Ovis aries: one gene and its partner. The protein of the gene in region 1 interacts with the protein of each later gene in a pairwise test. Links are inferred from orthologs where the notes say so. Each region holds a gene or a part of one and is shown on either strand. Other genes may lie near its edges.

Evidence for each region.
Region 2: the proteins of CRY1 (region 1) and BMAL1 interact in a two-hybrid assay, tested with the Homo sapiens proteins (3 studies listed by BioGRID, with this or other methods). The link is inferred for Ovis aries from reciprocal best matches to the Homo sapiens genes CRY1 and BMAL1.

Annotation. Positions count from the first base shown.
Region 1 is NC_056056.1:175,887,046-175,890,862, reverse strand, and holds part of CRY1 (cryptochrome-1), read left to right. Parts: intron 1-1,013; coding exon 1,014-1,198; intron 1,199-1,514; coding exon 1,515-1,603; intron 1,604-2,126; coding exon 2,127-2,267; intron 2,268-2,355; coding exon 2,356-2,667; intron 2,668-3,817.
Region 2 is NC_056068.1:39,160,449-39,164,736, forward strand, and holds the start of BMAL1 (basic helix-loop-helix ARNT-like protein 1), read right to left. Parts: upstream 2,900-4,288; 5' UTR 2,790-2,899; intron 1-2,789. UniProt on the Homo sapiens protein: Transcriptional activator which forms a core component of the circadian clock.

The DNA of each region.
Region 1 (3,817 bases):
ATTTGGATTAAGAAAATCTCGATTTGCTATTTATTAGTTATGTGACCTTGACTAGTTTATTAACTTCTCTTGAGGCTTCAGTTTCCGATCCATAAAGTGATAGAGTATAATTTTACCAATAATTTTTTATGAAGCCTAAATGCTAGTATGCAAATGGCTATAGTGAAAAAGAATAATTGGTTATTCCCAAATTGTATTTAATTTGGTTATAAATACCATTAGCAAGCTCTTTGTTTTTAGTATTACTTAATTGAGAAATTAGTGATCAGAATTAAATATAAAATATATATGTAAGATACATATGTTAACATTTAAAAAAAACATGCACAATAGAAAATACCAAGTAATTATCACTATAGTAATATAGAATCCTAATTAATAAAACTTGCTAATTACTCCTTGATACAATATTGGCCTGGTTTAGCTTTTATTGATGATTAGAAGGTTCTCTGAGCTATGCTGCAAAATAGTTTTACATTTCCATGTGTATTATTTTTTGTTTTTGCCTTTAGGCTTATTAGCCACTTGTTTTTTCCACTTATAGATGCTTAATTTTCTTTGTCATAAAAGTTTTGATATTTGCAGGCTGTATATTTTTGACATCTAGCAGATGTTTATAAACTGATTTTTAGATTTGTTAATTGTTTTAACAAGTTTCTTGGTCCTATAAGAAGCTAATATTCTTGAAGTCTTAAGTGCAAATGGCTATGGTGAAAAAGAATAATGGGTTATTCCCAAATTGTATCTAATTCAGATTACCATTGACAAGGCTCTTTCCTTATAGTATTACTTAATTGAGAAATTAGTGATCAGAATTAAATATAAAAGATATACGTAAGATACATATATTGACATTAAACAAAAACGTACAATAGAAAATAGAAGTGATTTTTCATTTTTATTTTCATTTTTACTATCTCCATTTAATTTTCTTATTTTAGACTTTTAAATGTTTATCAAATTATATTGTCCTTTTAAAAATACTAATAGTATTTTACTAATTTTTGTAATAGGATCATAGAACTAAATGGTGGTCAGCCACCTCTTACCTATAAAAGATTCCAGACTCTCATCAGTAAAATGGAACCACTAGAAATACCAGTAGAGACAATTACTTCAGAAGTGATGGAAAAGTGCACAACTCCTCTATCTGATGACCATGATGAGAAATATGGAGTCCCATCACTGGAAGAACTAGGTAGGTATAAGCAATAATACATGTGGAGCTTAAGAGTTAATAAACCATTCAGAAAAATTCCACTTCTAATTTGACATGTATTTTGCACTAAAAGGAAAAGAAAGGAGAAAAAAGAAAGTCTTAAACTAAAAAGTGATTAATCTGTGTATTATTTACGTATGCTATTAATTCATGGTCTATCTGTTATCACCTTAAGATAAATGTCTCAAAGGACAGAGACCATGTTATTTATCATCTATCTGTGAGGACCTATCCAGGGAGTCATTTCATTTTTATGCTGTCAGATTTTTTTTCCATTTCCTTTTTTTTTTTTTAGGTTTTGATACAGATGGCTTACCCTCTGCAGTGTGGCCAGGTGGAGAAACTGAAGCACTTACACGTTTGGAAAGGCATTTGGAAAGAAAAGTATGATAATACAGATGATGTTTATATTGTCAAATTGTCATTTAAAAAATATTCACTCTTTTTTAAAAACAAAAAAATAGGCTGTTGAAAAAGGAGGATTAAGAGAAATAATTAAAATAGCACAAATGTAATTGAAGATTAACAACTGTTTTCATTTAAATACCCATCTTCCTCCTGTCTGATTATTTCCTCTTTAGCTAGTATCAGTACCACCCCTCTATGGTTTCTGTGTAAGTATCTGATGACTTTAAAGCTAGGATAGAGTTCTTCTATTTCACATTATCTCAGTGTCAGAAAGACAGGTTGAAGGTGCTCTCAACCTTGTGTTAGGAATTTGCCGCATGAGGATGACTAAAACAAAAGAATGCTCACTTTTATCTTGTTTTTTATTAAAATCTGTCATTTATGGCTGAAAAAATGAGATTTTATTCCCCAAGGACTATGTAACGTTCTTGAAAAGCTCAATTTCAAACAGTCTTTTAAAATTGGAAAGGCAGCATAATTTTCTCTGTGTTTTGTTCAGGCTTGGGTGGCAAACTTTGAAAGACCTCGAATGAATGCAAATTCCCTGCTCGCTAGCCCTACTGGACTCAGTCCTTATCTCCGATTTGGTTGTTTGTCATGTCGACTCTTTTATTTCAAACTGACAGATCTCTACAAAAAGGTATTATCTAGAACTGGAGCTTATTTTTAAAAAATACTTTTTATCAAAAAAAAATCACTGATAATACTTCTTTGCTTTTTAATCTTAGGTGAAGAAGAACAGTTCCCCTCCCCTTTCCCTTTATGGGCAACTATTATGGCGTGAATTTTTCTATACAGCAGCAACAAATAATCCACGCTTTGACAAAATGGAAGGAAACCCCATTTGTGTTCAGATTCCATGGGATAAGAATCCTGAGGCTTTAGCAAAATGGGCAGAAGGACGCACAGGCTTTCCATGGATTGATGCCATCATGACACAGCTTCGTCAGGAGGGTTGGATTCATCATTTAGCCAGACATGCAGTTGCTTGTTTCCTGACACGAGGTGACCTGTGGATTAGTTGGGAAGAAGGAATGAAGGTAAATGTTCTTCCAACTAATGTAGTATGGCTTTATTATGAAGAACTCTATACCTTTTATATATATATATATACACACACACACATACACACACACATACACACACACGTATATATATATAAAACAGTTCCTAAAAGTTGTCTATTATATAGATTCGTTTATAGTCTTGTTTCTTTTTTTCAATAGAAAAGCATTTATTTCTTAACTATAGAGGCAACTTTTGGGCATAATCAGAGTGCATTAACCTGAAGTCAGTTAACCTGAAGTCATTTCAGTGGCTAAATCAGCCTACCCATCAAGGGAACTCCAAAATTTAATACTCTGGACTTAGCAGATTTGTGTATATTTATAGGTGATCATTTCTGTCACATAAAGGAGTCATCAAAGAGTCTTAGAAATAGCCATCTTTATATTATAAATTTTAAAATATAAAAAATTTTGCCTCACTTCAACACCATAGCTTTTTATGTAATGTGATGCATACTACATTTTGTGACATCATCTTATGGGTATATATAAGAGGACTTAAATATGTTTTACCTTCCTATCTATTATCATAAATTTCCCCTTTCCAAAGACCATTTCTGATCCTATGTTTTTTTATATCTCTGTTTCCTAGCACCAAGTCATACATGAGGTAGATACATAGCACACACTTAATGAATTTATTAAAATAATTTAATTCTGTTTCCCTTTTGGATCAAGGAATCCCAAATTTAAATTCCATAATTCTAATTAAATTTTAAAGGTCATTTGTATTTGATTGTTCCCATTATGTAGACCAATGTACCAAACTTCCAAGTTGTTTTTTGGTGGTTTATTTGGTAGTATTTTTGCTTTCTTGAAAGTGTTTACTACTTTTTCTTCCTGTTTAAAAAAAAAAAATCTTCCCATATCCTAACTTATCCTTTTAAATCAATGAGTTGAATAACTTTTTCCCTCCCCTTTCCAATAACACTGCCAAGCTTACAATGGTAAATTCTATTCAGAAATCTGTATAGTACTAATATGTTTTTTTCCCCTGGAATAACTCATTATAGGATAGAACATAGATAAGGAAACTAACTTTGGAATGTTTAATTTTATAGTTCAGTGCTAGATTTTCTTTACCTTGACTTTTGATCTACAGAGACCTGGAAAATGCTTGCTT
Region 2 (4,288 bases), on another chromosome or scaffold:
TCAATTAAACCTCAAGGTTTAAAAAGAAAGTAAACAATTACTTCCCTTCGTTTGCTACCATGATGTTAATTCAAATCACTGCCTGTGATTGTAATATCATTTGGGGCAGAAAATGTTCCTTTAATATTTGACTTTCTCCAACTACCATGGGAGTCGACGATAGAAACACAAATAGAAGAAAACCCACAAAAGGAAGGCAGCCCTTATACCAAAGAGAGATACTGAATATTTAGCTTTGACATATGCATATGCATTTTGTTAACGAGTCTTTCTACAGTGCTTGTCCCTTGTTTAGTATATATAAATGGCATATAGATCATTGGTATGAAGTGATAAATCTGAAAGTAGGGCCACTTCCTTTTCCTCTCTTTGGTAGGCAAACCTCTTCTGCAAATAGCTGACAAACTCCTGAATAGTCATCATTTTATAAATCATTTGAAATGGATTCTTTAAAACACCATCTGTTGATCTGTTTAAGTTTCCTATGAAAACAGGACGTCAGCTCAGATATTCTGGAGGTTCCAGCAGGTAAATACCAACCCGAATTCAGCCATATTAAATATTCAGAGAAGCACAGAACTTTAGAGCAGAAGGGAACTGTTGAGATCACCTTGGTCTCCTGTCTTACTTTCCATCTGAGGCAAGTAGAACCCAGAAGGGTTCTGTGACTTGCCCCAAGTAGCACAGCCGTGAAAACCCAAGTCTGGGCTGGAACCAGGAGATTCTAACTCTCAGGCTAGCACTCTTCCACCACCCCTGCTCTTTTCTCTCTCCCTCTTTCTAAACCTTAGGGGTTGGAATAAGATATACATTTAACTATAGTTTTAACCTATTTATATTATTCACCAGCTACATCTACAATCAAAACAAAACATACGTCTACAGATTCAGCTTTAGATATACAGGCAATTTCAAACCCTGCCCGGGAAATTTTAAAGCCTTCCAAGTATGTTTAACAAAGTGTTTTAAAGACTTAGCAATAAAGTGAACTCAGTAATAGAGCATGGAGTGAAAGGCTGAACTTTGTATTAAGAAAACATTTTGGAGTTTCATTGATATGGAAATCGAAATTAACAGCAGTGATTTTTTTTTTTTCTTTTTTTAAGTCTTGCAAGCACGGAGAGCATGAGATTATTCAAAACTGCTCTGGAGCAGCAAAGATTATTTTAAGCTCATGATTCAACCAGCACATTAATTAAAAACTCTACCAACCCAAATCGACAGATCCTGATATCAATGGGACAAGAAGAATTAAAATAATAGTTGTCACATAAAAATAGATTAAAAGAGGGAACAGCGGCGGATGTCAGAAGGGCAATGACAAGCAAGCGTTGTGGGAAACTAGATGCAGCTAATGGGCAGCTTTTATGGATTTTTTTTTTTTAAAAAACGAAGATCCTAGAAATACACGTACAGACAAGAAATGCTTCTTTGAATCTTGTTTCTGGAAGCTAAGTGATAAAACTTGGCTAATAATTCCTTGCCGAGGAGTAGCTATGCAAGCAGGGAGAGGAGACCACAACCGCGGAAAGAGACAAAACAGAGCTAGGTGATCGGAAGGGGCCAAAGCAGTGGAGGGAACAGGGCACTGAGAAACGTGAGGTGAGGGGGCACAGCCTGTTACTCCACCGGCCAGCACCAACTTAACAACAGACGCCTATGGCCAGTAGTGCCTTTCCTTTCCCTGCGTCTGCCCTCGGCTCTGCAGCCGGCTCCCACGACCCCTCGGGGTGACTGACTTGATCCCCACAAGGTCGGCATTAATTTCTATTCTTCCACTTATTCCTCCGAGCAAACGAGAGCTCTCTCGGCTGTCAACGCCCGACAGTCTCGAGCGGGAAGCTTTTTCTTTGACATCTGTCAAATCCGGTGCTAAAGCCAGCCTCGCTGCGCCCTCCGCGGGTCTCCAGGACTCCAGGGCGGCCGGCGGGCCCACACCTGGGCATCGGGTGACATTCCGCCTGTCGTGGAGCACCTGCTCGCAGACCCACGGGGATCCTCCCCGGACTGCCCAGGACCCAGACGGCGCAGGCCGGACCGAAGTTCGCATGAGGGAGTCGGCCGCATCCCCGGGCCGGGAATACCAGGTGCAGCCCCAGCACCCGTGAAAGGGTCAAAGGGGTAAGGGGTGGCTCTGACTCCCCAAGCCCGGCGGAGACGCCCTCCCCGCCCCCACCCAGCCCTGCAGGCTCCCGAAAGGAAAGTAGAGGGAAGAGGGAGGAAGGGCAGAAGCCGCATCTCTAACCCAACGCCCTTGGAGTGCAGCCGTCAAGGATGGTCCCCTCGGGGGTCCCTGAACCTTCCGGGGATACATCCTAGGACTAGCCCTCAGCCGGGTCACTGATCCCAAAGGGTGGAGCTGTCCCTTTAAGAGGCAGCTGGCTGCTCCTGCCACCACCACCACCACCGCCCCCCCAACCCCAACCCGGCCACTTCAGGTAGCTATGCCCGCGGAGGGGAGACGGGTATTTCCGCGGACTCTCTCCCGGTCCCTTTAAGGGTGCCTGCGGCACCTCTGCCCGTTCTAGTCCGCAGCGCCAGCCCCCGCGAGGGAGGATGGGGGCGGACGAGCGCGGCGCCTTTAAGGGGCGCAGCCTCCCCGCGGCCCGGGTGGGGGCAGGGAGCGGGCACGGGCCCTTTAAGGCCGGCAGCGGGCACGTCGGGCAGGGCTCCCCGGCGGCCGGGCTGCGCCCCGGGCGGCGGCGGGGGCTTTGAGCCTGCCAGGGTGCTAACGGCCCCGACGGGGTGCCCGCGGCCGCACCGCTGGCTGCGGCCAGCCCGACACTCACCGTGGCTCGCCGGGAGCGCCCGCGCCCGCGCCCCCACTCGGATCCCGCGGCGGCGGCGGCGGTGAGTCCGGCGCGGGTAAACAGGCACCTCCGTCCCTGACCTACTTTCTGCCTTCCCTAAATGTCGCACCACTAACCTACTTTCCGACCAATCCGCTCCCCGCCGGCCCAGGCCCGGCCCCCCGCCCACCAATCGCTGTGCCCAACCCCCCTTCCCCGCCCACCAATGGAGGAGTCGCGGAGCCCGGATACCTGCCTCTTCCCTCCAGCCAATCCTAGAGCCCGAAGAGAGCCGGTCTCGGCGGCCACCCCCGGCCAATCCGCGCGCGGCTCGGCGGCCTAATAGCCAGTTGTGTGGCAGCAAGAGAGGCCGCTGACCAATGGCGAGGCGGCGAGGGCCGGTTTACCTGCTACTTTCCCGCCACCAATCGCTTGGCGCACAGAAGCACACGCCCCAAGGAGAGGACCAATCGACGCGTTTTCCCTGGATTTCCTCGCCCCTGTCCTCTCTCTTTCCCCTGGTCTCCCGTTAGCCTTGGCCACTGCGGGTCCAGACGCCGCACTCTTTGCAGTCGCTTGAGATGTCCTTCTCTAGGTTCCTGACTTGCTTCTGGGTCACGGCTCTCACTACATCTCCTTTTTTCACTCGGGGCATCCTGACTAAAGCAACATTTCCTCGTTCCCCTACCTCCAACTCCATCTAGGAAAACAGTTTTAGGAACACAGAGTGCCAGACCCTACCCAAAACATCCTGGTTTGCCAACGTCCAAACGAGAGAAGAAATACTTGGTATTTCTAGAAGGTTTTTCAATTCAAGTGTCCTTAAGTTCTTTTCGTTCTTCCTGACCTCCAAGCATCCGATTGGAGCTGTCTTTCCTGTTCAAAAGAGAAAACTCTAGCCTGGAGCCATTCCAGTGCTTTTCCTTTCAGTGGCCGCACTACTGTGTAGCAGACAACTTCCCAGTGGCTCTGTTTCTACCGTAGAAAAGCTGTCCAAGGAGTGAGACGGAAGGAAACAAATAGCTGCAGAAAATAAATGTTTCATAACAAGATACAACTTGAGTACTGAGAGGAGGAAGAATCTTATTTTTGCATCTCAAGCACTTGACAGAGGGCCTTTAACACAAAGAGCTCCCTACCCTTTTAGATGTTAAACTCCCTAAATGAAAGGACCTCGTCTTTTTTGTTATACTCACCCCCTCACCTTTAGCACCTAGCTGGGAGTGAGATAGAGGGATGGGGGCAGTGCCTGATTCCTAGCATGTTTGTTGACTGGATATGGGAACAAATTGATCTAAATCACTTAGCTCAATCTTGTGACCCAGACTACTCTCCAAGACACTAGATTTCTAGCCTTGTTCATTGAACACAGAAACTGCATTTTAAATATTGTAAAACGGTAGCCTGTCCTCAGTTCACTGCCAGGTACATAGTGGTTGTCTAAGCTCACTGCCAGGCACACATAGTGGTTGTCCAGTACATGCTTGTGGCCTGAATGG